3 linked regions of the Arabidopsis thaliana genome follow. The protein of the gene in region 1 interacts with the protein of each later gene in a pairwise test. Each region holds a gene or a part of one and is shown on either strand. Other genes may lie near its edges.

Region 1 (11,507 bases):
TAGGTACATAAGGTTGAAATGTCGTAAAATATCTTATTGGAGTATACCGGTAGGGTTACTAGGGTAGTAGGGCAAATGGTTCAATGAATCATTGGAGTGTTAGATGGTAGATTAGTTATAATTGCAAAGGCACATTACAGAATTTCTGATGCTTTTATTCGTTACACATTTATTTACTCAGTATATAATAATTTGATAAGTTTCTTCCCAACTTATATTGGGTTTGAGACGTATAGCTTTAATTAGTGCTGGCATTAACTATTTAATCTAATTACATAGTACTTTATTCCATTTTACAAAATTTGTTGTTTTAGAGTTTTCACATACATGAAATAAAAGTAAATGTCTAATTATATATCTTATCGTTTCAATTTAAGATCTTAGTATAGATTTTTTCTTCTCAAATTAGTAAACTTCATTTTTTTCTTGACCTCTGCTACATTATCATCATAGTATTAGCTAGTTAACTTCATTTAGATTTTAAACAGATAAATTTGGAATTTTGTTATGTATCATATGTATTAAAAATAGGAAAGTAGTAATTCTTGTGATAGAAAAATTTGTAATCCACAAATGCATAGACAAAACTCATTTTCATGTATTAATATAGTAATTGTACATAAATAATATATATATACACATATACACCAATAGGCATTGTTGGTGTGTACAGTGTACATAAGTTCATATGTCACGGAGGTGGATGTCACACCCGTTTAATAGGATGCACTAACACACTCATTGGTTTGCAATTATTATACTTTTCTTAATATTACTCAATTACTATAGTATCAAACAATATAAAATCGTGAAATAAAGTACTGAGAAACTTCACTTAAAGGGACGATTAATGTTATTGGTAGTGGTTTTATACTTATACTACCCAATAATTAGAGGGATAATTAAAGCACTAGCATTGATATTTACATGCACATAATTAAAGATTAATGTTCCAAAGCAGCGCGTGACGCCACGAGCCAACAAAATTGCGACATTACACAAATTTATGGATTTACAATTTGACTACAACAAGTGTCAAATGTCGGCAGGTGATTGGGGAAAATGACTCACGAGCCCTATTTTTTATTGTGTGGGTCTAATCCAACCTTAGTGCATCTTTTGTGGCGCATTTATTATAACCTCTCTATGTCTATTCTATATAAACATATATTCCATTAACCTATGGACGAATATATCCACAACACGAGTAGAAACACAAACCCAATGTTTTATCTTGGTCACGTAGAGCTCCTTTATCTTCCCTGAGCGAATACGTCTTCTACGTTTTGTGAAATCCGTAGATTTTCTTTTCGCCGAGGTTAGGATATTTAGTAACATTAATAATTAAGCCATGGCAGTATGAAAGAGTGGGATTCATATCTTAGCACACTTTTGAAAGATGTGAGCCAAATTTTGATGTAGAGAGACAACAAATGAAATTAACGAATTTGCATTTGAAACATATATAGATCGATCCATTGATAAGCTTTAATGATATGTAGAACACATTCTCTAATTCTATGAGATTTGTAATGAAGTGATAACCCATCTTTACGCAAAACACATTGCCGTAACGTCGACAACAAATGAAGAATGGCTTTGTTAAGGTGAGTTAAAAATAATGTTGGCGCATCATATGTTTCTTTAACATTAATAGACAAAAATAAGTAACTCAAGTTACGTTTTGATGAAAGGAAATAAAGTCGTAAGCATGCATCTCTTTGACGATAGATGTTGTGTTGCATGATACCAAACTCAAACATATTGCGACCACAACTCTGAAAAAAAACATTAACTCACTCAAAATTAAAGCAGAATAATTTTTTTGTTTCTTCTCTTTTTTAGATAAAGAGAGACATTTTAATTTTTATGTTAGTCGGAAGATTCCGATTCAAGGAAATTTATATTTACTTTTTTCGACCTATTTTGAAAACAATTTGTACAATCAAAAAGATGTTAGAAAAGTATGCGTAACATTTTTTGTTTTTTTTGGTAAAAAATCAGGGCCGGCTCAAACTTTTTGAAGACCTTGTGCTGATTTATAAAAACTGGCTTTAGTTAATATTGGTTTTTAATTTCTAAAATTTTTGGACCCTAAAACCTTAAAGAAAATTGAAATTTTTTTTGAGGACCCTGTGCTTTTGCTCCTGTAGCACTCCCCTAGAGCCGGCACTGTAAAAAATATACGTAAGATTTTGTGCAATATTCGCAGTTTTTAATCACTGAATTACCATAAATTTGTTAGACATTTTTACATGTTTCTTACAGTATATTAGATAGACTTTGATTCTCATTCTACATCTCAATAATATATAATATATGATATGAAAGTTGGACAGTAATGAAATAGTAATCATGAAAGTGAGACTAGCTATTTAAATGCAGGTCACATGCAAACCTCGTCCCTGATCCCATCAACAGAAACATGGCCAGTGTACTGTGCAAATCCACAAACTCCCAAACAACGACACTGTTTCTAAATCTATAATGCGTTATTCTTTTTTATCATGGCCAAAAAGTTTGTGCAATTAGTTAGCTGTCTTGTACGTATATAATAATAGAAATTAATGAGGAAGTATATATGTTGTGTGTTTTGTCAAGTCTCTACGGGCCACGTCCTTATCCATAAAAAAGCTTTGTGCATGACAAGCTGTGTACCATTTTCCTTTATTCTTTTGTCTTTCTACTTATTTTCTTTCAATAGAATATAAAGGTCAAAACATTTGAAGTCTTTTATAGTCAAAGATCAAACATTGAAAGTCTTTCAGAGTCAAAGATCAAACATTTTAAGCCTTAATTAAGGTTAAACATTACATCGACTTGTTAAGGATTTGATGATTTACGAGCATTATTAAACCGAGTCGAGAAACCTCACTAGTTAAAGAGTTTATTTTGTGTTAGACGTGACGTACATGCTGCATGCATATATGTAATTTAAGTTGTTTGCGGCGAGAAGCTGATTTTTTAAAAATTTTGAGACATAATGTTTTAACTTTTAAGCTTTCTCAAACACATTATGTTCTTGATGTATGAACGATAGTTTTTTAAATCTAATTTAACATTAGGTTATCAGACACACTAATATACATGTAAAACTTTGCATTATATAGGAGCCGTGACTACCCTATGGCAAAAAGGCAAATGCCTAAAGCCAAAAAAAAAGTTTAAATTAAAGGCCAAATTTTTATAAAATAATAAGCTTATCAATTTTGTTATTTTGATAACAAATAATTGTTAAAATGAAACTTTTTTCGTGAAAATTATATTCTTAACTATACCTTTATCTATAGACCATTTTCTTATCTTGAAAACACATCATTTAGTAATATATTTTTTTTGGTAAGAATCATTTAGTAATACATCATAATTAGTAAATATAAATATTTAAAACAAATAACATTATTAGAAAAACATATAAAAACAAAAAGAATAACGTATTATTGATTTTTTTACATTGTAAGTTTTTGATACTAATATTTTTTCCGATTCAGTATTATGATTATTTTTAAAAACTATGATGATAGCCACATTTTATAAACTTGTCCTAGCCCTGCACACATCTAAGCAAGACACTGCATTATATATAGAGTTGCTTGTGTGTGTTTTGTCAATATTTTTACATGATAAAATGATGATGCACTCTGAATACGATCCCATAAATATAGAAGTTTAAATCTAAATACGATCACCATATTTACGTATAAAATACCAAAGAGTGTAGAAGATAATTATTTTAGTTTTATAGAATAACTATAAAAAGGTGATATAATCCACAATATTATCATGTCAATATCTTAAGAACAATTTGAAAAGCTAAATTATTGGAAGAATATGGGATTATGGAGCAGTGAGAGACGTCAACTTACAAATTGAGAGAGAAAAGAGTTTCAACAACTTTTTTTTGGCAGTGAACTTAGACCGAACTAAATTCCTTCTTCAAAAGTAATCCACAAATAAATTAATATTTTATAGCCTCGTTTTCAAATTAAAAACAGAGAGAAATTTGGAAATTCCAGTACGACGGGAGATAAAACCTAACATACGCCATGGTGACCGTTATCTAAACTACGCCAAAATATTTGAAGTGTCGTCGTTTCATAATAAAACGCAAACAAAAACCCACTCCCACTTTCTCCTTTCCAAAAAAAGAACTCTCGCCACTTTCTCTGCTCTTTTTCTTTCTCTCTCTCTTTCTTGTTTTCGCCGGCGATCATGGAGAAAAGCGGCTTCTCTCCCGTCGGTCTAAGGGTTCTTGTCGTAGACGATGATCCAACTTGGCTCAAGATTCTCGAGAAAATGCTCAAGAAGTGTTCTTACGAAGGTCTCTTTCTTCTTCTTCTATCTTATGTTTTCCCCAACAGTTGGATTTACTAAAATATCTCCTTACTTTCCTATGTTGCAGTAACGACCTGTGGATTAGCTAGAGAGGCTTTGAGGTTGCTGAGGGAGCGTAAAGATGGATATGATATCGTGATCAGCGATGTGAACATGCCTGACATGGATGGTTTCAAGCTTCTTGAGCATGTTGGTCTTGAATTAGACCTCCCTGTAATAAGTGAGAAGAAAGATCTTGACTTGTTGTGTAATAAATGAAAAAGGTTATTGATTTTTGTGTGTTTTGCGTTGTAGTGATGTCGGTGGACGGCGAAACAAGCCGAGTGATGAAGGGAGTGCAACACGGAGCTTGTGATTACCTCTTGAAGCCGATAAGAATGAAGGAGTTAAAGATTATATGGCAACATGTTCTGAGAAAGAAGCTTCAAGAAGTGAGAGATATCGAAGGCTGTGGATACGAAGGAGGAGCGGATTGGATCACTCGATACGATGAAGCACATTTTCTTGGAGGTGGTGAAGATGTTTCTTTTGGGAAAAAGAGAAAAGACTTTGACTTTGAGAAGAAGCTTCTTCAAGATGAGAGTGATCCATCATCTTCTTCTTCCAAGAAAGCTAGAGTTGTTTGGTCTTTTGAGCTTCATCATAAGTTTGTCAACGCCGTTAACCAAATCGGATGCGATCACAGTAAGTACGTTGGCGACTTTGGTTTCTTATCATGTCCCCTTGCCTCCCTTTATTATCATGTCTTCATAGAGCCGTGAAATTTTTTCCGGTCTCTTGTTTGGCAGAAGCTGGTCCCAAGAAGATATTGGATCTCATGAATGTTCCATGGCTCACTAGAGAAAATGTTGCAAGCCACCTTCAGGTAAAAACTTTACCTTGTCATCATCATTATTCAGAACAAGTGTTAGATTAAGCTTTTCGTCACTTTTTTTTTGTTCTGTTTTTGTAGAAATATAGACTTTACCTGAGCAGATTAGAGAAAGGAAAGGAGCTCAAGTGTTATTCAGGTGGCGTGAAGAATGCGGATTCATCTCCAAAAGATGTCGAAGTGAATTCAGGCTACCAAAGCCCTGGGAGGAGCAGCTATGTATTCTCTGGAGGAAATTCTCTGATCCAAAAAGCAACAGAGATTGATCCAAAGCCACTTGCTTCAGCTTCTTTGTCTGACCTCAACACCGATGTGATCATGCCTCCGAAAACAAAAAAGACGCGTATAGGATTTGATCCTCCCATTTCCTCCTCTGCGTTTGACTCTCTGCTTCCTTGGAATGATGTTCCAGAGGTCCTTGAATCGAAGCCGGTTCTGTATGAGAATAGCTTTCTCCAGCAACAACCATTGCCAAGTCAAAGTTCCTATGTTGCAAATTCTGCACCATCTCTCATGGAGGAGGAAATGAAGCCTCCTTATGAGACACCAGCAGGAGGCAGTAGTGTGAATGCAGATGAGTTTCTCATGCCACAAGACAAGATCCCTACTGTAACCCTTCAAGATTTGGATCCCTCTGCCATGAAGCTGCAGGAGTTCAACACAGAGGCGATTCTGAGAAGCTTGAACTGGGAACTTCCAGAATCACATCATTCTGTTTCTTTAGACACTGACTTAGACTTGACTTGGCTTCAAGGCGAGCGTTTTCTTGCAAACACCGGACTCCAGTTTCAAGATTACAGTAGTAGCCCATCACTCCTATCTGAGCTCCCAGCCCACCTTAATTGGTATGGAAATGAGCGGCTGCCTGACCCTGACGAGTATTCCTTCATGGTAGACCAAGGTTTATTCATATCTTAACCTTGTTCCAATAACTTCTTTTCGTATATTGGTTGGTGTAATGCAGAAAGATTTTGTGGGTATACCTGAAAATAATCTTGCTTTCCCAAGAACCTTCCATGATCGGATGCATTGTACAATAATCCACGAGTGTCGTAGGCTAATTACACCAAACAGGTTGATGACAGTGATAAGGCCACATGTTTCACACCGTCGCTTAAGATCTTCACTGTCACCTGGAAGGAAATTAGTTTGCATGTCATATCATGAAAAAAAGATCTCTACTACACATTGAATCTAATTGCAAAACTTAGGAATTTTACCTCCTTACTCCAACACATGTGATGTTCTTTTATCTGTTGAGAATCTGTCCCATAACCTTATCATCAAATAATGTGAGAGTTCACAATCTTAGAGCAGATATACAAATGAGTGTTACGGGAAACGTTTTACATCGAAGATATCTAACAGTTGCCACATGTGATGTTCTTTTATCTGTTGAGAATCTGTCCCATAACCTTATCATCAAATAATGTGAGAGTTCACAATCTTAGAGCAGATATACAAATGAGTGTTACGGGAAACGTTTTACATCGAAGATATCTAACAGTTGCCACTTGCCACCAGATCCAAGATGGGAAACTTCAGAGTTTTGAACTATCTAACATCTTTCTATGCAGGCAATGGATTAGTTACCTGACAAAGCTCTAATTTATTCATAACAAACAATTTATGAAGCTACACACACCATATTGCAATGTTCGGACAGTCAGATGTCGCCAATACTGCGCAGAACTAGATTTTTTACCTACTGGAGCAATCAGGGAGATTCTACTAAATCTCTGCAAATGGTCTTGCTCTCACCTTCACGAAGCTTTTGCATATCTTGTTCACAGTTCTAGTTAAGGGTTTCTTCGAAAGATATAGTGGGAAGTTTTCCTATTTTCGACTACTATTGTTTGACCAATGTCTAAGAAAAGTTGAAATTGCAAGTTGTAACCAATGGCTCTTTCTTTCAACAAATCTACAATACACAATAAGTTATATGTTACAAGAGATTTAACAGAAGCTGTTTCTGTGAGAGATGTATAGAGAAAATGTGCACAAAATAGCGGTAGTCTCGTCATATCCAGTGACCTTCTGCAGCCCATACCGAGACGGTTGAGACATCAAAATCAACCAACCAAGTGTCAATTGTTCAGCCTCAGGCCCTGTAAAACGGTTGTATATCATTTTGGTGAAAAACACCAAAATTCTAGTGAAAATGAAAAGAAGAAACATTCAGTACCTGTTTATACTTACTTGGCTTTCTCATCCGAGGTTTCTTCAGTTTTTTCGTCACTCCCCGGGTTCAGCGATGATAGCTTTCCGAATGACTCTTTTGCATCCCCAAAGTAGTCTTTAACTTTGTCGAACACTGTTTTAAGCTGGTCCTGGGTTGGGAGCTGCGATGGTTCAGGACAAAACACAAACGTTTCAGACAAAACATCTATAACAGCATCCTTTTGGTGTCACTGTAGGAAGTTTGAGAGCTGATCTCATGTAGTTAAGTATAGCTCACCTCAATAACATCTGAAGTACTAAGTGCAGCTCTCATGTTTCCGTTTTCCTGAATGTATAATACAGCCATAATAAGTGAAAACGAAACCAGAAAACTTTTCCTACGGTCTCATCAACTACAAAATGAAGCAGAGCTTCCAATAACTGAAGAAAAAGGGTTTTGAGAGCATTACTACAAGTTTGTAGCCATATCGAAACTCGGTGGCTGTACGCAAGACACGATGCTGCTTAATTGCTGTCTTTTGAATCTCTTTCTCATCCTGTTGAAGATAAAAACAATTAGAAATAACATCTAAAGAGACACATATTAATAGTGGAATCAACCACACAAGAATAAGCAGAAGCTTGTGTAATTTACTCTGTAAATAACAGCGGCAATGTTTCTTGCAATGGTGTCTTTGTAGATATACTTCCCCAAGAGGTTATCTTTTGCAGCAACCATGATCTTAGCAGTAGTACCACCAGCTATTATACTCAGAGGATACCAAAGATACACCTGTTCACGTCACAAGAAACACTTTTTACAACAAAAAGTAAAATGCTGAAAAGAACACTCGCATTGATGAAACCAGAACACAATTGCAATCTGATAATTGATCTAAAAGGATCGAATGAAAGAAAGTACATAACTTTGCAAACAAAACCAATCAAGCTAACAATTTTAATTCATGTTATAAACAAACACGTACTAGAACAAAGAGCTGAAATGTTGAAAAATCCAAATTTGATGAAACCAGATGATTTGCAATCTAATAATTGGTCTAGGAGTATCAAATTGAAAAAAGTATATAACTTTGGAAACAGAACCAAAGCAAAGCTAACATGTTTAAGCGTTTAATTATCTCCTAATCCAAGCTAAGTGAAGAAAGAGTGGAAAAGAGACGAACATTGGCCATACGAATGAAGATAACGAATCTTGGGTTTCCATCGTCTTCAATCTTAGGCATAGGAGGAGGTGTACGTTGATACTGACGCGCCGCCATACCTTTCTTTCCCTTAGCCTCCACCACAAAAACCATCCGCCGCTGCTGTACCGCCGTCTCTCGGCATGCCGTTCTTGAGCTAAACAGAGAGTGTCTCGCTAAACCAACCTCTTCGAATCTTCCTGTGTTCTTCAGAGGAAGCCGAGTTAACGCATTCAAAGACATACTCACTTCCATTACTCACCAGAGAAGATTCACTCACCACTAGTTTGTTTAGAAACGAGAGATTATTTGGTTTGGGGAAGATGATGATTTCGTGGATTCGTACCTTATCTACTTGTACCTGCCACGTGTTCAAACCAGTTTAAACCGAACCAGAACCGTACTTCATAAGGTAATCTGAAACTCTTTTCTTTTACGTATGTCTGAAACTACTTACCTTTAAGGCCTGTTACAATCCTATTTCCAAAGTAAACCAAAAAGACAATACTATTCTTGTCTTAATAAGAGAAGAAAACCATAATATTAGAATCTGTCTTGTAAATTGATCGAGACAAGTCCTTATCTTCAACACCGTACATGCTCAATGATGATCACTATGTTATATAACTCTTCGTAATTTGAGATTGCGATGCAGAGAAAGGTAAGAAACTAAGAATGAATGATTACAGTTTCCACCTAAACCGCTAGGTCCTCTCAACACATTAACAAACATCAATAAACGATGTCTCTAACAACCAAAGAAATGTTTATTTTCACCAGCTACCAGATTCACTGGAACCTAATGTTAGGTGCAAAATACTACAAACTATAGTTTGTCCGGCTAGCGATGAAAGCTTGTGTTGATGGTTCCCTTCCAAGAAAATTGGTGAGAAGTTCCATTGGTTCTTTGCCTCCTCCTGGGGCCAACACCTAATAAGAAAGTAGTTGTTACTTGTTTAGTCCTTTTACACTCACACACTACTAAATCAAAGGAAAGACAAACAAATACGCTTCTCACTTTGTCTCTGAACTGCAAGCCGGCATATAGATTCGGATGCCCATCTCCAAATTTTGAAGCAAATATATCAGCAGCATACACCTGTGGAAATAGGTGGATTCTCAGACTAAAGTCATGGAAGGTACGGATCACCACAGTGCAAATCAATCATACCTCACTCCATAAACGACTGTAACATGTTGCTTCAGAGCCAATTACAGCACGTGGGAAACATGAAGCAGGGTTGGTTCCTTCCACCACTGGTAGCCCTATCATTACCTATATATAGAAAGACACTAGTATGAGAAAATTTCTTTGCCGTAAACAGACCAGATTGCTTTGAGAGTTTATGCTTTTACCTTTGGATGAAGACTCCTGATTAGCTGGAGTAAGTCAGCATCATCGTCCGAATATATTATTTGATCAAATAGACCTGATCATCCATATTTCAAGCATCATTAGGCAATACCACATTTTACCCGCTAGTAGACTTCTTAGTTAACTACTGCTTCCTCTAAAGCATAATAAGAACCACAATCTACTCGTCTTACTAACAAACCATTTGTCCTAACGATTGTGAGGAATTGATATTTCAGTTTAAAAACTACAATGAAGTCAAAATGAAAAGGTATATAAGCATCATTAAAAGTCAATTAATATCTCACAGTATAATATCTCCTGAAGCGACTTTAGTGCAGAGAAAGAATATCGCCAACGTTTGAGTGTTTTGCAGACTTCATCCACAAGTGGCTTGGTGATATCCTGCAGGAATAAATCCCAGGTTAAAACAAATTATTATGACTAGTCTACGACAAGAACAATTGTCAACAATTTAGTCGTGAGAAGCGCTCACCTGACGATAACCTGATATTAACTTCAACGTGAAACTTTCGTAACACCTAGAGATACAAGAATTATATTCCGTCTATTAGGATTTAGTGTTAATACAGAAAGATTTTAAGAAAAAATTATCAGTTTACTTGCCAGTTTTCCAATAACTGAGAAGGAATCTCCCGAAAGTCGGGGTCAACACGTAGGCCCGAGAATCTAGCAAATGAAGCACGATTGCAGATATGTTGGACCTATTTACCAATAGTAGCAAGGAATATCAGCTAATAACATCCCCTGATACATACAAAAGATACCAACAGAATTTATTCTGCTGTTCCACGTAACCAATTTCATTCACGTACCACATGGCCAAACTCATGAAAAAGATTAACCACGTCAGAAAATCCCAATGGCACAGCTTCACCACTACCATCCTTTGCAAACTGTGCAATAAGCAACGCCACAGGAATCTGGAGACAGAAACAAAATAAATGCCAAAATACGAATACTAAAACCTTAAAATACATCCACATGAGATCACAATATCGATTTATATTTGAGTTGCATGATACTTCCACATAAAGGTCCGACATGGATGTAGGATTGTCACCTGACATGCACCATTGGAGAACAGTGCGTTATTCTGAAGAGCCACCACACAGCTGTGATTACATTTTCCTTCCCTGTCAAACAAAATTATTATCACAACTCAAAATGAAATGGAGGCTCTAAAAGTAAAGAGGAGAATGAAGTAAGGTTGCTAATGGACCTTGTAAACATGTCAAGATAGAAATATCCCAAAAGCTTTCCAGATCCTGAGTCAAAGACGGCAAAAGCTCGAATATCATGATACCAGACATCAACTTCTGTAACCTCCTCAAATTTTATTCCTGCATGGCGAAATCATTAAGTTGGCCAGCAAGCTATGACGAGGATCAAATAAATGGATAGTAAATATTCTCAAGCCACAGAAGCAAAGCAAAAATTTATTAATACCCCCAAAAGATTTTAGAGTACAGACGTAAACTCACCAAAAAGGTCCTGACATATTTTAAAGATCCCGGAAAGGACCAAGTTGACAGGAAAATATTGCCGGATATCTCCAAAATCA
Region 2 (10,957 bases), on another chromosome or scaffold:
GTATTCAGGATTCTTGTACCTTGATCTTTAGCTGTTTCATCATCTTCAGCGTCTTGAAATTTTTCTGTAGCTACCTTCTCTGATGCTCCAACTTCGTCAATCACTTTACCAGTACCCACTTTCCCTTGATCCGCATCTGGTTTTGATGAACAGCCATCCTTCTCTCCTTGTAACTCATGATCACTTACAATGTCTGTACTCTGCTCTTGGTTTCCAATTTCATCACCAGATAAGGTTATATCCTCATCCCTGCTTTTCATCTCTTTATCTAGATACTTGCAGACCGCCTTTTCCGCCTCAACGGTCTTTTCTCTCAATGTTTTGGATTTCAGTGCAACAATCTTGAGCCAGCAATAAGGACAAAATGGATTCGAAACATCCTCACTACTACTACTACTACTACTACTAGTACTACCCAAATCAGCATACAAACACTCGCCGTGAAACGAAAGAAGACAGTCAACCCCGCAACAACGAGATACCCGCTCGTCTGAAACTTCACATACAATACAAGCATCCAAGTCCAGCAGCGGCTCTACAGATCCTCCTCTATCAGTAGTCTCACTAGTCCCAAGACAACGACGCTTCTTGTGTGGCACATCTCTTTCATCACATTGTGTGTTTTCATTAGCTTCATCATCCTGTGAAAGGATGACCAGAAATCATTCACAAATACATCAACCGTAACAGTTTCTATTTCGCGAGTTCCAAATTTAAAATTCAACCTCCACAATCACACAGAATCCAAAACAAGCTTTGATTATAACATACGAATCAAAATCAAAACCAAAATCAGTCATGTAGCTGCACCAGGAAATTACAAGCTCTAGTTTTCCGATTCTAAAGGAGACTGTTCCGAGAAGCAAATAGAGACGAAGGGAAGAAATAGGTTTACCAGAAGCGAATCGAGGGATTTGCGCGAAGACCTAACCGGAATCGATTTGGTTCTCATCTTCATCTTCGACAGTTTCTTCTCAATCATCAGTCTCGGTTTAAAATTGGCACTCTCGAATTCAACAATGGGGACGTTATATGAACAGTGAAGAGTGTCTCTTCTCAATTGTGAAGCGTACTGAGGAAGATGGATGAATAAACAAAATAAAAAAGTATTATGTGATAAATTTAGCAAATATAGAAGAAGTCAATTCACCTTTTAATTAATTATACGGATAACCCAAAATTTTATGTATATTGAATCAAAAATATATTTTAACTTTTTTTTATTTATTTAGAATTTTTATATATTTACTGACATTAAAATTTCAACTTTAAACAATAGTGTAATCAATATATAAAATCATAATTCATTAACAGAAAAGTTTTACATTCGTAAATGATTCTTTTTAATTGACTTAAATTCTTGAAAATAAATCACATATTTTTTTGACGCATAAAACATACACATGTATATACTAGAGACTATATGTCGGATGATTCATCATAATAATTATTTACTTTTTTTTAACACATATAAATATTTACTATAATGAGATTAAAATAATAAATATATTTAATTTTTTAAATCATGAAACTACTAAGCTAGTTATTATAGAAAGGAAAAAAAACAGAGAGTTTAGTTGATACGCCATAAAACAGGGTTTCTTTCTTCTACATATGTGTTAGGTCTTCATGAGTCATGACCATTTTAGTTCCACAAGCCTTCAACAATTAAGTTAAAAGAAGATTGTAGCTAACTAAATTTTAAAATATTGTTGACTTTTGTAAGTAATAAACTTGCAATGTATAAGTGGGTTAGTCTTATGGAACTTGTTTACCTTTTTTGTTACTATATATGTCTGGTCAATTTGCATAGCAACAATTAAAATTTGTAAAATGAATGTTATAAATATGGTCTTAAATTAGTGTCTGACTTTAACGGCGGGATTTAATTGTTACGTATTTACGATTTTGAAACTAATAGTGAAAAAGGAGACACTGTACCAACTTTAACCTTCACTGTTATATTCATCTTTAGCCTTCTTCACAATATTTTTACCTTTTCAGTTCTAGAGTTATTTAATGGTGGTGTAATAAATCTTACTATCCCATTTATCTATGTGAGGGTGGTAATTAGTTTAACCCAACAAAACCCATCAAAAAAATAAAAAAGTAAATGTATAATTCACATTATATATTTCATATTCACATTAAGCAATTCTCAGTTATATCGTATATATAGCATAAATACTTGGAATTCAATTGTTATATAATATAAGTTCTTACTTCTAATTCCTTATAAAGTCCCTACATTTTACTATAATGTGACAAGTAAATTTAGCTCCTCCAAGAAGGGGGGACCTTTTTCTTGATTACCGATCTTAGTAACTGATGGATCTAAATGAAATCGTCTTTTTAATTTTATTTTTATTTTTGTCGTCTATATGAAATCGTGTATGTTATATAAAAACTAATGAAATCATTTGGGGAAAGTCTCAATTCTCAAAGAACAATAACAAAGGAATTTAGTTGTGAATTATACCTGTACATGTTGGATTCTCCTCAATATCTGAGTTTTTAGTTCTGGCTCTCCTCTTTTTTTTTTTTTTTTTTTTTTTTTTTTTTCTAATGCATGCATGGAGATGAGAGTGAGACTCTGCTAAAAGTTTTTATTCGGATATTATTTAATTTGTTTGACAGTATTAACAAAAGGCTTTTAACTTTTAAGATTCTGTGAAATCATTCATCATGAACCCAACTAATTACCTTCTGGTTCTTAACATTATCTACTACTCGAAGAGTTAATATATAACCCTATAACTTCATCACTAGCTCTATTCTAATAAAGATGTATACGAAATTATGAATAAATATTACATTATATATTTTCGTATGTGAATGTATAATTAAATACACAAAAAGTTAAAAGGATTAGTGGCGATAGGACAAAACGGATAAGAAAGAAATGGAATTTCAAGCTGAATGATGATTCTAAATGATTTTATGGGTCTTAATTTTAGTTTATTTCGAATACAAATCGGTCTTATTTCTCATTTAATCCAGACAAGGAAAACCATATATATATTGGCGTAACACGTAAACATTTAAAAGTTAAAAACACGTTATTTTTGGTCCATATCGAAGACTTTTTACGTAGGGTCTTAGCTAAAATAGTGAAATTTGCATATTATTTTTTTAAGAAAATAGAGTATGAAATGTTGTTATCAAACGGATCCTTTACAATGAATGCAATCATCGAAAAAAAACCATAAAAATATTCTTAAAAAAATTATACACTATGAAAACTGTGATGTCTCATCTCTTTCAAGGGTTTAGGCTTAAAAGCTTCCCTTTTCTCTTATACACTGTCGTTAGTTTTAAATCTCATTACTTATCATCAATCTGTTCAAACCCTATCTACTTTTAACATAGAAAAAGATTCCTTTCCTTCCCTCTCTACCCTTCTCTCTCCATCTCTTACACTATTTACACATCAACAATTTGTTAAGTAGCAATTGAATATGAGAGAGAGAGATATAGGGAGAGAGATTGTGTGTAGAACTGCAAGTTAATAAAGAATGTGGGGGTAAAGAGTACACAGTAGATGAAGACAATGAGACTTAGTTTTCAAACTTCTTCTTTGCTTTGGCTTTTATTGGTCATATCAGACTCTTTATTTATAGATGATCTACTTAGCTCTCTGTGTTGATTCTTAGCTTTCAAAGGTAGCTTTTGGCCTCACCCTATATACTCTATACAGGTTACTGCACATATACATTGGTATGGACTTGCCACTAGTGCCAAACCTTTTGCACATTAATTTTCACATATATATAAGTAGATTTAGATGGTGTATATATAAGACAAAACAATAACTGAAAATCTTAGGACCAAGAATGAAGGCATAACCAAAGAAGGGGGGAACCACATTGTCAGTTTTTATGGAGTTTTTGGGGGACCATTAGTTTCGTTTCACTCTTTCTCTTTCACTTATTTAAGCTTAACTTTGACAAATACGTACCCCCACCTATATTACTACACGAAATTACAATATATTTATATATAAAATCTCATCAATTTCTTTTCAACTACATTTATGTTTCCATGTTTATAAAATTCAGTCAATTAAGACGGTGGTTTAAATGTTAAAGGCCACAAGTAGATTTATGTGAATGTTAAAAAGTCCCAAGTTTAGAAATTCCGTCAAATATAATTAATCCATGCAGATTTTGATTTACCATTTATTGGTTTACACTAGATTTTCAAAAGGAATATTTGGTGCATTCACACAAGGCTCAAGATTGTTTGTTTTTTCTTCAAAAAATATGATATTATCAAAACCTCTAATTTTGTAGCAAAATCAATTTTATTTAAATCTAAAACATGTATTGTCTTGGTTGGTTCACATCATCTTGCAAACTCTGTAACACTATAAATTGTTACAATTTGTATGTTTATCGAAAAAGCGCAACGATAATATTGACATAAACAAGTAGATTAGGTGTCATGATAGTATATATATTATAAAAAAACTAATACGAAAGAAAAAACAGTTTCCCGAAAATAAATTAAAAATTCCAAGTTTGACCCTTGGACACAACAAAATATATCAACCTATATTAATGTTAGAGAGATGATGGATGATGATTGATGATGTGCAAATGAGACAAAATTATATCACACTTTCCTTTTCAATCTTTAAATTCCAAAACAAAAGGTACTGTTGGGTTGCTCCCTTATTAGGTGAAAAAAACCTCACACAACACAGACAATTTCACTCTGTCTCTTTCACTACACCTCTATATCTCCCTCTAGATACATATCCCTATTTATATATGTATTGTTTCGAACACTGCGTGCTCTCACACTTTGTTACACCTCCAAAAGACAAAGTACATAGAAGAAGAAACTTCTTGTCACGCCTCTCTTACCCCTTCCCTTGTGGTCCAATAAAACCCTAATTTTCTTTTCTTTCTTTTATCCATTGTATTAGATCCTATATCTTTCTTCCTTATAGACCATCTCTCATGTCTTCTTATATATATTAAGATATTCACAAGAACTACAAAAGAAAGAAAGGAGATGGAGTGGTCAACAACGAGCAACGTAGAAAACGTGAGAGTAGCTTTCATGCCACCGCCATGGCCGGAGTCTAGTTCCTTTAACTCGCTCCACAGCTTCAACTTTGATCCTTACGCAGGTATATTCACACACCATCGTACCAAGTCTGCATATGTTACATGCTTTCGTTTTTTTTACTTTTAGATGTGTTTAATTCCATATTTGACGAATTCATGAACTTTAAAACCTTATTTATCCCACTTGCAAATGTTCTCAAGAAGTTTTTTTTTTTCTGTGAATGATGTAAAGAATTTCAAATATGACGTCCCTAAACTTCATTCCAAATGTCAACTAAAACGTTACTTTTCTGATGAGAAGCTAAGATTTTCTTATCTTCAGTCTACAATATCTATAAATAAAGTTTCTTACTTTTTTCTTGGGATCCTACAAAAACAATTTCTTGGGATCCAAATGCAAAAAGGTAAAACGTCACTTTTGAAAAGTTGAGATTCGTTTATGGTATAGTTCACTCTAAGAAAAATGGTTGCGGACATAATTTTATTCTTCTTATACTTTTGGAAGTTTTTTTTTTTTTTTTTTTTTTTTCGTATAATGATTATATTGTTGCGCTTCTATGTTTAAATATTTCCTTTTATCCTTTCGGGGCGTTTGCTAAAATGTTTAACAGCAGGAAATTCATATACGCCTGGCGATACACAAACCGGACCGGTTATCTCTGTACCGGAATCAGAAAAGATCATGAATGCGTACCGATTTCCGAACAACAACAATGAGATGATAAAAAAGAAGAGACTAACGAGTGGACAATTAGCTTCACTTGAGCGAAGTTTTCAAGAAGAGATCAAATTAGATTCAGACAGGAAGGTGAAGCTGTCGAGAGAGCTCGGTCTGCAGCCACGTCAGATAGCAGTTTGGTTCCAAAACCGCCGTGCACGGTGGAAGGCGAAGCAGCTTGAGCAGTTGTACGACTCGCTTAGACAAGAGTACGACGTCGTTTCTAGGGAGAAACAAATGTTACACGATGAGGTTTGTGTATTATATTGCACAAAATTAAAATCATGGGATCTAATTACATATTATCGTTTTCTTAATTTATCCCTTAAAGTCTTGATTCTATCAGATTGCCCCCCTTAAAAAATTGGATTGGTGGTGCAGGTGAAGAAGCTGAGAGCTTTACTAAGAGACCAGGGTTTGATCAAGAAGCAAATCTCTGCCGGGACCATCAAAGTTTCCGGTGAGGAAGACACGGTGGAGATTTCATCGGTGGTGGTAGCTCATCCAAGAACGGAGAATATGAACGCAAATCAAATCACCGGAGGGAATCAAGTTTACGGTCAATACAACAATCCGATGCTGGTTGCTTCCTCTGGCTGGCCGTCATACCCCTGATAGATGTTGCTGATCTCAGAGAGAGGGAAAGAGAATGAGAGAACGAGAGAAAGAGAGAGAGAGAGATTGTGTCAAATAGAGCTTTAGACTAGGACTTTAGTAGTGTTATAGACTAAGACAAGCTTTCTCTCATTGTACGATCTTAAAACATAAATGGCACGTTCTTGGATGCGAGATTGAGTCTGAAAATTGTTGAGTTGGTTTTGTTGAACAACTATACTATGAACACTCAGAATTGGCGAATGTCCGAAACAAAACTAGCTATAAACCAAAATAATGACGAGAGTAAACGAGATTGTACAAATCTTGACACTGATGCTCAGCATTTTCCGCTTCCCTTCACCGAACTTGAGACCTCTTGACGCAAAAAAAAGCTGCTTAGGCTTTGTGTGTGTGTGTGTGTGTGTGTGTGTTGTAGCTTGGTAAAAAGCTAATCTTTATATGTACATGACTGTCTCCAGGTAAGCTTTGATTGAAGAAGGCTTTAGTTGTTAAATATTTAAGAACTTTACATTTCGAATCAGAGATCATAAAAATTGTAACCTTGACAGTATTCCAATAACTGTCTCATATTGATAAAACATCAGACGCAAAAGCCATAAAGTGATCAGAAGTAGTACGAAGCTGCCACTCCATTGTTTATATTTGGAACCGTCGTTGCTAGTTTGTTTGGGCCTAGTCAGGAGTTATTTTGGGCCTAACTAAGAGTCAGTGAATCTGAGCTTAAAGTTTGGTAAGATGTGTAACTTGTAATGGGCCAATCAAATTTTGAACCAATTTTAGTATTTTACAAACCAACTTCGAATAGCTGTCTTTAAACTGAAATATACTTGATCCTAAACATTGAACACATGTATAAGTAATAACTAAAATAATTCAATTGAAATTAATTAATTAACAGAGTATTAGTATATGAACACCAAAAAGTCGCCTAATTATATCGTCACAGTATTTCAGTGCACAAGCTATTTTTCTTCTTCGAATGTTCCTTGACGCCTGATTATTTGTAAACTTTTAAGTTAACATATTAAAATATGCAAATATAACTATTATTTGTTTATTACAAATTAATGAAGAAAAACGCCCAATTATAATTTTACACACACACACAAACAATCCCGGGACTTTTCAATTATTTTTCGTTACACACGCCAAACAAACAAAAAAAATCTGACAAAACTTAGACTTCACGAATCTTCACATTCAATCTCCTCACCCAAATCGAATGAAGAATCATATGAAACACATCAAACCTCTTAGCCGGAGAATTCACCTCAAAATGTCTCCTTACCTTCAACACTCTTCTGTACATCCTTAAGTACTGTCTCGGCGATATAGATGTCAATATCGTTTTCAAATTCGGTATGTCTTCCACTGAAACGATCACCGAGAACGATCTCCAGTTCAGTACATCGCTGAACGGAGGAACATATCCTGAGTTTATCAAAACCGGGACGCAACCCGAGTAGAGTGCCTCCACGATCCTCGGGCTCGCAACCTCATAACCGCTAGGACAAATGCAGAACTTGCTGTTCCGCATCATGTCAGAATAAGACGTTCCTCTAGGGAGATACTTGTGGACTCTAATGTCATTATCTTTGTTCTCCCAATGCTGGAGCAAGACTGGCCTTACCGGTCCGTGTACACCCCCTGCAAAGAAGGCGAGGATGGGACGGCTGGAAGGTGACGGTCCACCGACCAATCCAGTTAAGGATCCCGTCCTTAGATTGATCTCCGGTATCGACACATCTTTTCTTGGTTTGAATCTCTCTGACGTGTTGGCATTGCACAAAGCTCTAATCGAATTATGTCCTAGATGTGGATGAGAGAAGCTTGCCTCAGGACCCTATACCAAAAAATTTCAAGATTATAACGATAACTAGCTAACCAGAAGATATAAGCCAAATATATTGTTATAGCGTACCCAATCGTGACAAGAAAGTATGAAATGATCGGCTCCGATGCTGCGGTTCCAATATGGGTATTTATCACCCACAAGATTGATGTAATCCTTGACTGTATTTCGGATGGGGCTGAAATCGCGGGAATTTCGTTCATACACGTATCTTACCATCTTGACGACACTAAATGGTAGATAAAAAACATGAGCCTTGTCGGGATTATTGGTCCGAAAACGTGTATCGGTTTCTATCTCATAGATGAAACTTCCTTCCATAGAGTAGATGCTTTTGCATGGACCGTCATGGAACAACGGTGGCTCGCCTTCTTTGTATACATATATCTTGAATTGTTTCTCCATCTCCAAGTAACTCCTAAACATTTCAATACATAAACAAAACATTGTAACCACATCATGGTAGTGTTAGCAAATCGTCAAAAGAAAATCTGTTTCACTCTCTACTCTAGACCACATGAAAACATTTTTGTGCACATGCTCGAATGTCTTGTCTAAGTTAATATGGTTTTCAAGATCAATCAACAAGTTACGCTATCATTGGTTACCTTATTTTGCTAAACCATGTAAGATGGGCCAATAATAATATTTTTGATTTTAGAAATTTAGCCCTCCAAAAAAATAAGGTATGTGATTCCTTGCTCTGCTTACGCTACGCATATAAGATGGGACACCACAAATCTATTGCATTTACTAATTTAATGGAAACAAACTACTACTAGTATTTAGCAAGAAATTAAATATAAAAACCTACTAAAAACGTAACTCAAATTTAATTGAAACTTCCTGGCCAGGTTTCCCCATCAATTTAGTAAAAAGTAAATCCAGTTCCAAGCCATAATTATGATTCACACTGCCAACCTGTATGACTTCAATTTAATTCAAATAAATTGATAGTTTCCAACCTGTTTGACTTTAATTTAATTCAAATACATTTTTGACGAACCAATAAATTCACAGTTCCAAACCGTGTAACTTAAATTTAATTCAGATACATTCTTAGCGAATCCAAATTGCAGTAACTTCAGAATAATAAATATAGAAAGTAAACATAATTATTCATTTCACTTACCGATGAAAGACCTTAGCGTTCCAATACATAGGACCAAGAGGAACATAGTCCGGGTCGTCCACGGGATCATCCATCGAAGCGGCTTTAATGGAGGCTCGAGCTTTTTGTAGCTTGAATTCTATCTTCTCTAAATTGCTAAGAACTCTTCTTTTCTTTGGTTCCAATGATGCCGTAGAAGAGACGTTATTACTCGTTGCAGTAACGTTGATCATATTCAGTTGAATTGTGCGATTATAATCACCCTGTTCAATCATTGTTATTCTCTAGACTATTGTACATAAATGAAATTAAAGAATGGTTCCATATCAGTAAATAAATCACTTTAAAAGAAATCAAAACTATATGAACATTAGTTAGTTGATTAATTAGTTCAAATTTATATCACCCGACCCTACATATATAAAAAAACTGTAATCTTTGCTTTCTTATTTTGCGGTTTTGATGCGACTGCTTCTCTCGTCCTTAATAAAAACGAATTAAAATTCACATTTGACTAGTTGACAAAATATTTTTTACAGTTGACTGTAGTTTGACCACGGAATTTAAAACATAAATGTTATGATATCTGTTGGTAAAACATTAACATAAGTATTTGTTAGTAACAAATAAGAACAGAAAAGAAATAAATAAAATAGCCGGAAAAGAAAAAAGACATGCAAAGATGAAGAATGAAGAAAGGAATAATTTAGGTATTCCTAAGTAATTTCTCTAACCTGAATAGATTCCACTTTAGTCGATAAAGATGATGCTGGCAACGAGGGAAGTATCTCCGGTAGCAGAGGAGATGGCGCCGGTGCCGGAGCCGTAGACAGAAACGGAGGAGGAAGATGAGAAGTAGTAGTGGACAGAGAGGTTAATAAAGAAGTTGAATCTTTAGGACCAATATTTACAAAGACGAAACCAGAAATGACAACAAGAGGAACCATGAATAGAAAGAGTTTAGTTGAATACGACGTCGTTGAGGAACATGCAGACATGTTTTTACACTTCCCATCAACATCTTCATCTCCCATGATCTCTCTCTCTATTAATTCTCTTTCTCTGAGAAGAAAATTATAAAGAAAGAAGAGGAAGAAGACGAAGAATCAAAACTAATAAAGAAGAGAGCTTTTTTGTTTTTATTTCAACCTTTTTTAGTTTTGCTTTCGGTTTTAGGAGCAGAAGAAGAGAAATTTAAAAGAAGGTGAATGAAAGAATAACATTTGGTAATAAGTGGTTGCTCCCTCGTCACCTCGTGCCAAGCGTCATCTTTCTTTCCACTCTCTCTTCTCTTTTCACATGCAAACTTTTTATTTCTATCAATTTCCACCCCAAACGTTTTATTTCTATCTATTTCTACCCCGTCCCAACCAATCCAAACCAAAACTCTTCTAGTATTAATTAAGTTGTTATATCAACTTTGCTATGCGTTTGCAATGCTTTTTTATTTGAAACTTTGAATGGACTATGTAGCTATCAGAACCAAAACTCTCGTATTAACAACTTACGAATTTATAAAAGAAAACATTACAAAAACTAAGGGTCTTGGTCGATTCACCACAGATCTCTACAAGAACACTTGC
Region 3 (10,479 bases), on another chromosome or scaffold:
TGCTTGTTACTGTTCCTGGAGGAGCTGATGGCCCGAGTGGAGTTTTGGTTTGCGCCGAGAATTTTGTTATTTACATGAATCAGGGTCATCCAGACGTGAGGGCTGTGATTCCTAGACGAACTGATTTGCCTGCTGAACGGGGAGTTTTGGTTGTTTCTGCCGCCGTGCACAAGCAGAAGACAATGTTCTTCTTTTTAATCCAGACTGAGTATGGCGACGTTTTTAAGGTCACCTTGGATCACAATGGCGATCATGTCTCCGAGTTGAAGGTTAAATACTTCGACACCATTCCCGTCGCATCCTCTATATGTGTGTTGAAGCTGGGATTCCTCTTCTCTGCTTCGGAATTTGGAAACCATGGTTTGTATCAGTTTCAGGCCATAGGAGAGGAACCTGATGTAGAGTCTTCCTCCTCTAATCTGATGGAAACCGAAGAAGGTTTTCAGCCCGTCTTTTTTCAGCCTAGACGACTTAAGAATCTTGTTAGGATTGACCAAGTCGAGAGTCTGATGCCGCTCATGGACATGAAAGTCCTAAACATTTTTGAGGAAGAAACCCCTCAAATCTTTTCACTTTGCGGCCGGGGTCCACGATCCTCTCTAAGGATACTGAGACCTGGTTTGGCCATCACTGAGATGGCTGTCTCTCAGCTTCCAGGTCAGCCAAGTGCTGTGTGGACGGTGAAAAAGAATGTGAGCGATGAGTTTGATGCATACATCGTTGTCTCTTTTACCAATGCTACTCTTGTTCTTTCGATTGGTGAACAAGTTGAAGAAGTTAATGACAGTGGGTTTCTTGATACTACCCCATCCCTGGCTGTCTCTCTGATCGGCGATGATTCTCTCATGCAAGTCCATCCCAATGGTATCCGCCACATAAGGGAAGATGGACGCATTAACGAATGGAGAACTCCTGGCAAGAGGTCAATTGTTAAAGTTGGGTATAATCGGCTTCAAGTGGTCATTGCATTGAGTGGGGGAGAGCTTATATACTTTGAGGCAGATATGACTGGCCAGCTGATGGAGGTGGAGAAGCATGAAATGTCTGGTGATGTGGCTTGCCTGGACATTGCCCCTGTTCCTGAAGGAAGAAAAAGGTCTCGCTTTCTTGCTGTGGGATCTTATGATAATACTGTGCGCATTCTATCTCTGGATCCTGACGACTGTCTGCAGATTCTCAGCGTGCAAAGTGTCTCTTCAGCTCCGGAGTCTCTGCTATTCCTCGAAGTTCAGGCATCGATTGGTGGAGATGATGGTGCTGATCACCCGGCAAATCTCTTCCTCAATTCTGGGCTGCAGAATGGTGTTCTTTTCAGAACTGTGGTGGACATGGTGACTGGTCAGCTTTCGGATTCTCGCTCCCGGTTCTTGGGGCTGAAGCCTCCCAAGCTATTCTCCATTTCTGTGAGAGGCCGGTCTGCAATGCTGTGTTTGTCTAGCCGACCTTGGCTTGGTTATATTCACCGAGGACACTTCCATTTGACGCCTCTGTCTTACGAGACTCTGGAATTTGCTGCCCCCTTTTCATCTGATCAGTGCGCTGAAGGTGTTGTCTCTGTCGCTGGGGATGCTCTGAGAATTTTTATGATTGATCGTCTTGGTGAAACATTCAACGAAACAGTGGTCCCTCTGAGGTACACGCCTAGAAAGTTTGTTCTCCATCCCAAGCGGAAGTTGTTGGTTATTATCGAGAGTGACCAGGGAGCATTCACCGCAGAAGAGCGTGAAGCTGCAAGAAAGGAGTGCTTCGAGGCTGGTGGAGTGGGAGAAAATGGCAATGGCAATGCAGATCAGATGGAGAATGGTGCGGATGATGAAGATAAGGAAGACCCGCTTTCTGATGAGCAGTACGGTTATCCAAAAGCAGAGTCTGAAAAGTGGGTCTCTTGCATCAGAGTTCTTGATCCCAAGACAGCTACGACAACTTGTCTCCTGGAACTTCAGGACAACGAAGCTGCATACAGTGTCTGTACGGTGAATTTCCATGATAAAGAGTATGGTACACTGTTGGCTGTTGGTACGGTCAAAGGGATGCAGTTCTGGCCCAAGAAGAATCTAGTGGCTGGGTTCATACATATTTATAGGTTTGTGGAGGATGGGAAATCTCTTGAGCTTCTTCATAAGACGCAAGTAGAAGGTGTTCCTCTTGCTCTGTGCCAGTTCCAAGGAAGACTGCTGGCAGGGATCGGACCTGTCCTCAGATTGTATGATTTGGGGAAAAAGAGACTGCTTAGGAAATGTGAAAACAAGCTCTTTCCAAACACCATTATCTCTATCCAAACTTACCGTGACCGTATATACGTTGGTGACATTCAGGAGGTGAGTGGTAGATCCTTTTTCCTATATATTTTACTTACTACTGTGTGCTTTGTTTTATAGAAATATCTCATGTAGCCTTTTCATTATCGTTTTGCAGTCTTTCCATTACTGCAAGTACAGGCGCGACGAGAATCAGCTGTACATATTTGCGGATGACTGCGTGCCGAGGTGGCTGACAGCATCGCACCATGTGGATTTCGATACCATGGCAGGTGCAGATAAGTTTGGGAATGTGTATTTTGTGCGGTTGCCTCAGGATCTGTCGGAGGAGATAGAAGAAGACCCGACTGGCGGGAAGATCAAGTGGGAGCAAGGAAAGCTGAATGGAGCACCGAACAAAGTGGATGAGATAGTACAGTTCCATGTTGGGGACGTTGTGACGTGCTTGCAGAAAGCTTCGATGATCCCAGGTGGATCGGAATCGATAATGTATGGAACAGTGATGGGTAGCATAGGGGCATTACATGCTTTCACATCCCGTGATGATGTGGATTTCTTCTCTCATCTGGAGATGCACATGAGGCAGGAGTATCCTCCTCTCTGCGGGAGAGACCACATGGCTTACAGATCTGCATATTTTCCGGTCAAGGTAATAAACCAAAACCCATTTGCTTTTCCTCCAAATCAAAAGAAGTCCCTTGATTTTGAATTTGACACTTTTTGCATCTTGTAACAGGACGTGATAGATGGAGATCTGTGTGAGCAGTTCCCGACACTCCCAATGGACTTGCAGAGGAAAATAGCAGACGAGCTGGATAGAACACCTGCGGAGATTCTGAAGAAGCTCGAAGACGCAAGGAACAAGATCATTTGATAACACACGAAAAGAGAGAGAGAGAGTCATTGTTTTGTTGAAGGACAAAGTAGAGAGTAGAGAAGAAAGAGGTTATAATAGATTTTGTAAAGCTCTTCAATGGTTTGTTAAACAAAACCCCGCTCTTGTGAAAACTGATGAATTAATTGCAAGTTTACTTTTGAATCTACAACAGCATGAAACAGTTGCACCGGTAAGGTTTCTTCCATATTCAGGATTCCTAGTAGCTATGGTAGTTCTTGATTCGTTCATGAGAAGCATTGAGAATTGTGAAGCAGCAGACAAGTGGGAGCCTCGCCTGTCTCAACAAAAGATCAGGAACTGCAGACGAAGAGATCTGAGTTAATTCAGAGGCTCTTAACACCAGCCATTCTCGTTGAGAGCAAAAACAAAGATTGAGGATGCAGGTGAGCTAAATGAATCTTCTGCAACATCAGACTTAAAAAGTACCTGGTAAGATACAAAAACAAAGAATTATTTCACATTTTCTGTAATCAACATTTATCTCTTTGTTAACTTTGTTAGCTAAACATGAAACTTTTCCTTTTCCAAATCTCAATCACAAATTGATTTTCAACAAATCCGATATTATCTGAATCCCATATTATCTCAAATTCGATAAATTTTATAAATCATTATATACACCGTCTTATTACATTCTTATAAATAAGAGACAATATAACTAACTAAACTAACTATATCTCTTACGAAACATACTTTTCTTTTTGTCAAAGCTCCAAAGTTACTTGATGACGATGCCTGGAAGAAACAAGCGCAAAGAAAGATCCTGGCCGGAACCGCAAACGCAACCACAGTCAGAGATTCCTTCTTGTCTTCTTTGGCAGCTGTTAACATGTCTCCTCCGTCGACGATAGCTTACGTATTACCGCCAGGTTTTAAGTTTGTGCCAAACGATGAAGAAGTCATCCATTGTTACTTGAAACCTTACTCGGACGGCAACACGAACGTATTGCTCCATGTTCCTATTCATCTCGTCAATATCTACGAGTCGAATCCACAAACACTTTCAGGTTAACTTGTCTCCGTCCATATGTATTGTTTACTTAGTTGAATTCTTTAGTTTATTAAGTTATTAACATATATCTATATATATATATTTTTGAAACAGAGGAATTCCAGAAGGGTAACGATAAAGAATGGTTTATTATAACGGAGAGGAACAAAGTTGATCAAGGTTTAAGCCAAACAAAGAGAGTTGGTTATGGTGCGAAAAGGCAGAAACGTGTCGACACTAACGGAGGATATTGGCACGCAACAGTGGCTGCCCAAAAGATCAACGCTGGAGATGGTGTCGTTCGCAACAAAAGGCCACTGGCATACTACGTTGGGAAACCATCAGAAGGCGTCAAAACTGATTGGTTAATGCAAGAATACTCTCTTGATCACTCTTCTCACAACAACGACAAGGTAAGAAGTGTTTCTTGGTTCCCAAGTTATTTAGGTTTTCAAGTTTTGGATTCTGTTTTGAGTCTTGTTTTTGTTGTGCGTCTAGGATTACACTTTGTGCAAGATCTATCTTACTCCACAAGCAACAAAGATGAATAAAGAAGTGGGAGAAGAGAAGAAGAAGCAGAAGAAAGGAGAAGCCGTTGTTTCAGTTGCACCTGTGGAAGCATTGGAAGAGCAGCTGCCTTGTAATGTCGAGTATCATCAACCGCTAGCACCGCTAGATTCTTGCCAACCGCAGCCTCATGATTTGGCGTATCAACAGCAGCAGTTTTGTCCAGGCCCACTGGATTCTTATCAACCGCAGCCTCATGATATGGAGAATCAGCAACCGCATAATGAGAAGCTGAAGAAAGAAGAAGACGTTGAGCAGCTGGATTTGCATCAACCAGACCAAGGAAAAGGATGCTAATTGATCTCTTTCCTCTATCGGCAATGTTCTCCAAAACCAGAGATAATTCTCCCTGTCTTTATTGCTTTTGATGCCTTGATATAAAACATTTATACTCAATTTGTCCAACATTTTCTTAGCGTCTTAGACTTATAAACTAACACATACAGATATAGATATAAAACACCGGTGTATTCCAGTTTCAGATTACCCAAATATAAAAAATTTGTGTTTTGATTTGTGGGTGGGTTAAAGATTTTCGTTATATAATACATTAGATCTTAAAACCAACAAATAAGTTTCTTCAAAGCCTAACTAAATATACTCTAAACAAAGTTGTAGATTTAAAGGTAAATTTGGACTTTGTTACATCAGTTTTCACAAGAGCGGGGTTTTGTTTAACAAACCATTGAAGAGCTTTACAAAATCTATTATAACCTCTTTCTTCTCTACTCTCTACTTTGTCCTTCAACAAAACATTTAGCTCACCTGCATCCTCAATCTTTGTTTTTGCTCTCAACGAGAATGGCTGGTGTTAAGAGCCTCTGAATTAACTCAGATCTCTTCGTCTGCAGTTCCTGATCTTTTGTTGAGACAGGCGAGGCTCCCACTTGTCTGCTGCTTCACAATTCTCAATGCTTCTCATGAACGAATCAAGAACTACCATAGCTACTAGGAATCCTGAATATGGAAGAAACCTTACCGGTGCAACTGTTTCATGCTGTTGTAGATTCAAAAGTAAACTTGCAATTAATTCATCAGTTTTCACAAGAGCGGGGTTTTGTTTAACAAACCATTGAAGAGCTTTACAAAATCTATTATAACCTCTTTCTTCTCTACTCTCTACTTTGTCCTTCAACAAAACAATGACTCTCTCTCTCTCTTTTCGTGTGTTATCAAATGATCTTGTTCCTTGCGTCTTCGAGCTTCTTCAGAATCTCCGCAGGTGTTCTATCCAGCTCGTCTGCTATTTTCCTCTGCAAGTCCATTGGGAGTGTCGGGAACTGCTCACACAGATCTCCATCTATCACGTCCTGTTACAAGATGCAAAAAGTGTCAAATTCAAAATCAAGGGACTTCTTTTGATTTGGAGGAAAAGCAAATGGGTTTTGGTTTATTACCTTGACCGGAAAATATGCAGATCTGTAAGCCATGTGGTCTCTCCCGCAGAGAGGAGGATACTCCTGCCTCATGTGCATCTCCAGATGAGAGAAGAAATCCACATCATCACGGGATGTGAAAGCATGTAATGCCCCTATGCTACCCATCACTGTTCCATACATTATCGATTCCGATCCACCTGGGATCATCGAAGCTTTCTGCAAGCACGTCACAACGTCCCCAACATGGAACTGTACTATCTCATCCACTTTGTTCGGTGCTCCATTCAGCTTTCCTTGCTCCCACTTGATCTTCCCGCCAGTCGGGTCTTCTTCTATCTCCTCCGACAGATCCTGAGGCAACCGCACAAAATACACATTCCCAAACTTATCTGCACCTGCCATGGTATCGAAATCCACATGGTGCGATGCTGTCAGCCACCTCGGCACGCAGTCATCCGCAAATATGTACAGCTGATTCTCGTCGCGCCTGTACTTGCAGTAATGGAAAGACTGCAAAACGATAATGAAAAGGCTACATGAGATATTTCTATAAAACAAAGCACACAGTAGTAAGTAAAATATATAGGAAAAAGGATCTACCACTCACCTCCTGAATGTCACCAACGTATATACGGTCACGGTAAGTTTGGATAGAGATAATGGTGTTTGGAAAGAGCTTGTTTTCACATTTCCTAAGCAGTCTCTTTTTCCCCAAATCATACAATCTGAGGACAGGTCCGATCCCTGCCAGCAGTCTTCCTTGGAACTGGCACAGAGCAAGAGGAACACCTTCTACTTGCGTCTTATGAAGAAGCTCAAGAGATTTCCCATCCTCCACAAACCTATAAATATGTATGAACCCAGCCACTAGATTCTTCTTGGGCCAGAACTGCATCCCTTTGACCGTACCAACAGCCAACAGTGTACCATACTCTTTATCATGGAAATTCACCGTACAGACACTGTATGCAGCTTCGTTGTCCTGAAGTTCCAGGAGACAAGTTGTCGTAGCTGTCTTGGGATCAAGAACTCTGATGCAAGAGACCCACTTTTCAGACTCTGCTTTTGGATAACCGTACTGCTCATCAGAAAGCGGGTCTTCCTTATCTTCATCATCCGCACCATTCTCCATCTGATCTGCATTGCCATTGCCATTTTCTCCCACTCCACCAGCCTCGAAGCACTCCTTTCTTGCAGCTTCACGCTCTTCTGCGGTGAATGCTCCCTGGTCACTCTCGATAATAACCAACAACTTCCGCTTGGGATGGAGAACAAACTTTCTAGGCGTGTACCTCAGAGGGACCACTGTTTCGTTGAATGTTTCACCAAGACGATCAATCATAAAAATTCTCAGAGCATCCCCAGCGACAGAGACAACACCTTCAGCGCACTGATCAGATGAAAAGGGGGCAGCAAATTCCAGAGTCTCGTAAGACAGAGGCGTCAAATGGAAGTGTCCCCGGTGAATATAACCAAGCCAAGGTCGGCTAGACAAACACAGCATTGCAGACCGGCCTCTCACAGAAATGGAGAATAGCTTGGGAGGCTTCAGCCCCAAGAACCGGGAGCGAGAATCCGAAAGCTGACCAGTCACCATGTCCACCACAGTTCTGAAAAGAACACCATTCTGCAGCCCAGAATTGAGGAAGAGATTTGCCGGGTGATCAGCACCATCATCTCCACCAATCGATGCCTGAACTTCGAGGAATAGCAGAGACTCCGGAGCTGAAGAGACACTTTGCACGCTGAGAATCTGCAGACAGTCGTCAGGATCCAGAGATAGAATGCGCACAGTATTATCATAAGATCCCACAGCAAGAAAGCGAGACCTTTTTCTTCCTTCAGGAACAGGGGCAATGTCCAGGCAAGCCACATCACCAGACATTTCATGCTTCTCCACCTCCATCAGCTGGCCAGTCATATCTGCCTCAAAGTATATAAGCTCTCCCCCGCTCAATGCAATGACCACTTGAAGCCGATTATACCCAACTTTAACAATTGACCTCTTGCCAGGAGTTCTCCATTCGTTAATGCGTCCATCTTCCCTTATGTGGCGGATACCATTGGGATGGACTTGCATGAGAGAATCATCGCCGATCAGAGAGACAGCCAGGGATGGGGTAGTATCAAGAAACCCACTGTCATTAACTTCTTCAACTTGTTCACCAATCGAAAGAACAAGAGTAGCATTGGTAAAAGAGACAACGATGTATGCATCAAACTCATCGCTCACATTCTTTTTCACCGTCCACACAGCACTTGGCTGACCTGGAAGCTGAGAGACAGCCATCTCAGTGATGGCCAAACCAGGTCTCAGTATCCTTAGAGAGGATCGTGGACCCCGGCCGCAAAGTGAAAAGATTTGAGGGGTTTCTTCCTCAAAAATGTTTAGGACTTTCATGTCCATGAGCGGCATCAGACTCTCGACTTGGTCAATCCTAACAAGATTCTTAAGTCGTCTAGGCTGAAAAAAGACGGGCTGAAAACCTTCTTCGGTTTCCATCAGATTAGAGGAGGAAGACTCTACATCAGGTTCCTCTCCTATGGCCTGAAACTGATACAAACCATGGTTTCCAAATTCCGAAGCAGAGAAGAGGAATCCCAGCTTCAACACACATATAGAGGATGCGACGGGAATGGTGTCGAAGTATTTAACCTTCAACTCGGAGACATGATCGCCATTGTGATCCAAGGTGACCTTAAAAACGTCGCCATACTCAGTCTGGATTAAAAAGAAGAACATTGTCTTCTGCTTGTGCACGGCGGCAGAAACAACCAAAACTCCCCGTTCAGCAGGCAAATCAGTTCGTCTAGGAATCACAGCCCTCACGTCTGGATGACCCTGATTCATGTAAATAACAAAATTCTCGGCGCAAACCAAAACTCCACTCGGGCCATCAGCTCCTCCAGGAACAGTAACAAGCATATTGGCACCATTGTCAACAGGGTTAGACCACTTTCTAGAGACATGGTTGAGCCCCAAATCGAGCTCATAGAAAGTCAAATGCTTCTGAGCCTCACTAGCGGCTTGGCCAGTAGGATCCTGATCTGCCTCGGAGTAATCAAGCTCAATGGCTGCAAAAATCGGGTTATCGAAACCGCAGTCCACACCGCAGAGAGAATAGCAAATGGTATGAGACTTGTGAGCCTCCAAGGGAGAAGAAATAGTTAACCTAGCAGTGGTATCTCTGTTCAAAACATAAACCAATTTCTGCTTCTCACAAGCTCCAATCATAACAGCTCTTCCTTTGGGATCAACAGCCACGTACTGGCCTGGCACAATTCTTCTGCAACCAGACTTGCCAAAAGTCTCCTGGTGAACTTTATCGAACACATTCTTCTCCTTGTTGTACTCAAGTATAACAATCCTACCCGAATCTGAGCCTACTACGATATAATCCTTCTGCGCACCAGTCAACCTAAACTGAGCTAGGGATCTAATTGCACCAAATACTTCTACAGAGTGTATCGTCTGGATCTTACCGTTCTCGTCGGGACGGAGAAGATCCAAAATCTTGCCACGAGCTACCGCAATCTCCTGTGTCTTCCCGCCGGAGAAGTTCCCGTTGATTGCGCAGACGATTCCGGTCGCCTGCTGCAGAGTAAGACTGTACAGATACATCTCTCAAACTAGCAAGCTACAACCACCAGCAACGGCTAGGATTTAGGAGAATCCCCGAAACTGGAAGGACTTGAGGATGGTTTTGGCTCCGAGTTTAAGTGAACTCCTAGCGCATCTGCAACTTCGGATTTGGCAGATTTTGGTGAGGAACGGAAAGAATAAACCCTATATAATGAATTACCGCCATAGCTCCAAAGCTCTACGACGGAAGTGGTGTTCCTCTGCTAGGCGGTGATTCAATCATGGGCCTAACTTTTGGATCTAATATAGCAATATTGGCCCATCTTATTTTAGATTTAAGCCCAAATAATGACAAGAGTCCAAGACTGGTTTTGTCTCCGATTATCATTTTTCATTAACAAAAATTGATTACAAGAAATTGAACTTTTTTTTTTGGTGGAAACAAGAAATTGAACTTAATATAAAGATAAACTATAGAATGACAACATTTTCTCTCATTAAATTTGTGAAGTCACAAAAATAGAGTGGTATTGCATAATTATGTGATTGGTTAATATTGCAAATATAATTATGTTACTTATGTATGAAATTAACATGGCTAATTAAGATCTCTCTTCCATTTAATTTCTTAACATGATTTATTCTAATTTCTAACGAATAGATAGAAAGAAACAAAAATAGGTCAAAGAAATCAAGAAGGCTAGAAGAAGCAAGAGGAGTAAGTAGCAAATTAAAATGAATAAAACCTAGAGGTTTAGTTAAATCCATTAATCAACTAGAGTATGAGAATGCAACGACAATAA

Evidence for each region.
Region 2: the proteins of ARR11 (region 1) and HB51 interact in a two-hybrid assay, tested with the Arabidopsis thaliana proteins (one large-scale study listed by BioGRID).
Region 3: the proteins of ARR11 (region 1) and NAC063 interact in a two-hybrid assay, tested with the Arabidopsis thaliana proteins (one large-scale study listed by BioGRID).

What each region holds. Positions count from the first base shown.
Region 1 is NC_003070.9:25,371,611-25,383,117, reverse strand, and holds ARR11 (response regulator 11), read left to right. Parts: upstream 1-3,900; 5' UTR 3,901-4,212; coding exon 4,213-4,321; exon of another isoform or gene 4,322-4,402; coding exon 4,403-4,555; exon of another isoform or gene 4,556-4,589; coding exon of another isoform or gene 4,590-4,629; coding exon 4,630-5,019; intron 5,020-5,123; coding exon 5,124-5,200; intron 5,201-5,287; coding exon 5,288-6,124; 3' UTR 6,125-6,439; downstream 6,440-11,507. Other genes in the region: AT1G67700 (multidrug resistance protein), read right to left, coding at 7,308-7,314, 7,406-7,548, 7,665-7,712, 7,837-7,923, 8,022-8,159, 8,551-8,823; AT1G67690 (Zincin-like metalloproteases family protein), read right to left, coding at 9,388-9,498, 9,587-9,667, 9,740-9,844, 9,925-9,998, 10,231-10,327, 10,419-10,464, 10,550-10,647, 10,759-10,866 and 3 more. UniProt on the Arabidopsis thaliana protein: Transcriptional activator that binds specifically to the DNA sequence 5'-[AG]GATT-3'. Functions as a response regulator involved in His-to-Asp phosphorelay signal transduction system.
Region 2 is NC_003076.8:999,966-1,010,922, forward strand, and holds HB51 (homeobox 51), read left to right. Parts: upstream 1-4,816; 5' UTR 4,817-5,019; coding exon 5,020-5,137; intron 5,138-5,689; coding exon 5,690-6,045; coding exon of another isoform or gene 6,046-6,153; exon of another isoform or gene 6,154-6,174; coding exon 6,175-6,408; 3' UTR 6,409-6,666; downstream 6,667-10,957. Other genes in the region: TRFL10 (TRF-like 10), read right to left, coding at 1-641, 896-982; AT5G03795 (Exostosin family protein), read right to left, coding at 7,589-8,254, 8,333-8,681, 9,396-9,637, 10,109-10,408; EMB175 (Pentatricopeptide repeat (PPR) superfamily protein), read right to left, coding at 10,929-10,957. UniProt on the Arabidopsis thaliana protein: Putative transcription factor.
Region 3 is NC_003074.8:20,461,230-20,471,708, forward strand, and holds NAC063 (NAC domain containing protein 63), read left to right. Parts: upstream 1-3,865; 5' UTR 3,866-3,985; coding exon 3,986-4,163; intron 4,164-4,261; coding exon 4,262-4,560; intron 4,561-4,645; coding exon 4,646-5,011; 3' UTR 5,012-5,190; downstream 5,191-10,479. Other genes in the region: SAP130a (Cleavage and polyadenylation specificity factor (CPSF) A subunit protein), read left to right, coding at 1-2,318, 2,416-2,907, 2,995-3,132; SAP130b (Cleavage and polyadenylation specificity factor (CPSF) A subunit protein), read right to left, coding at 5,887-6,024, 6,112-6,603, 6,701-9,715.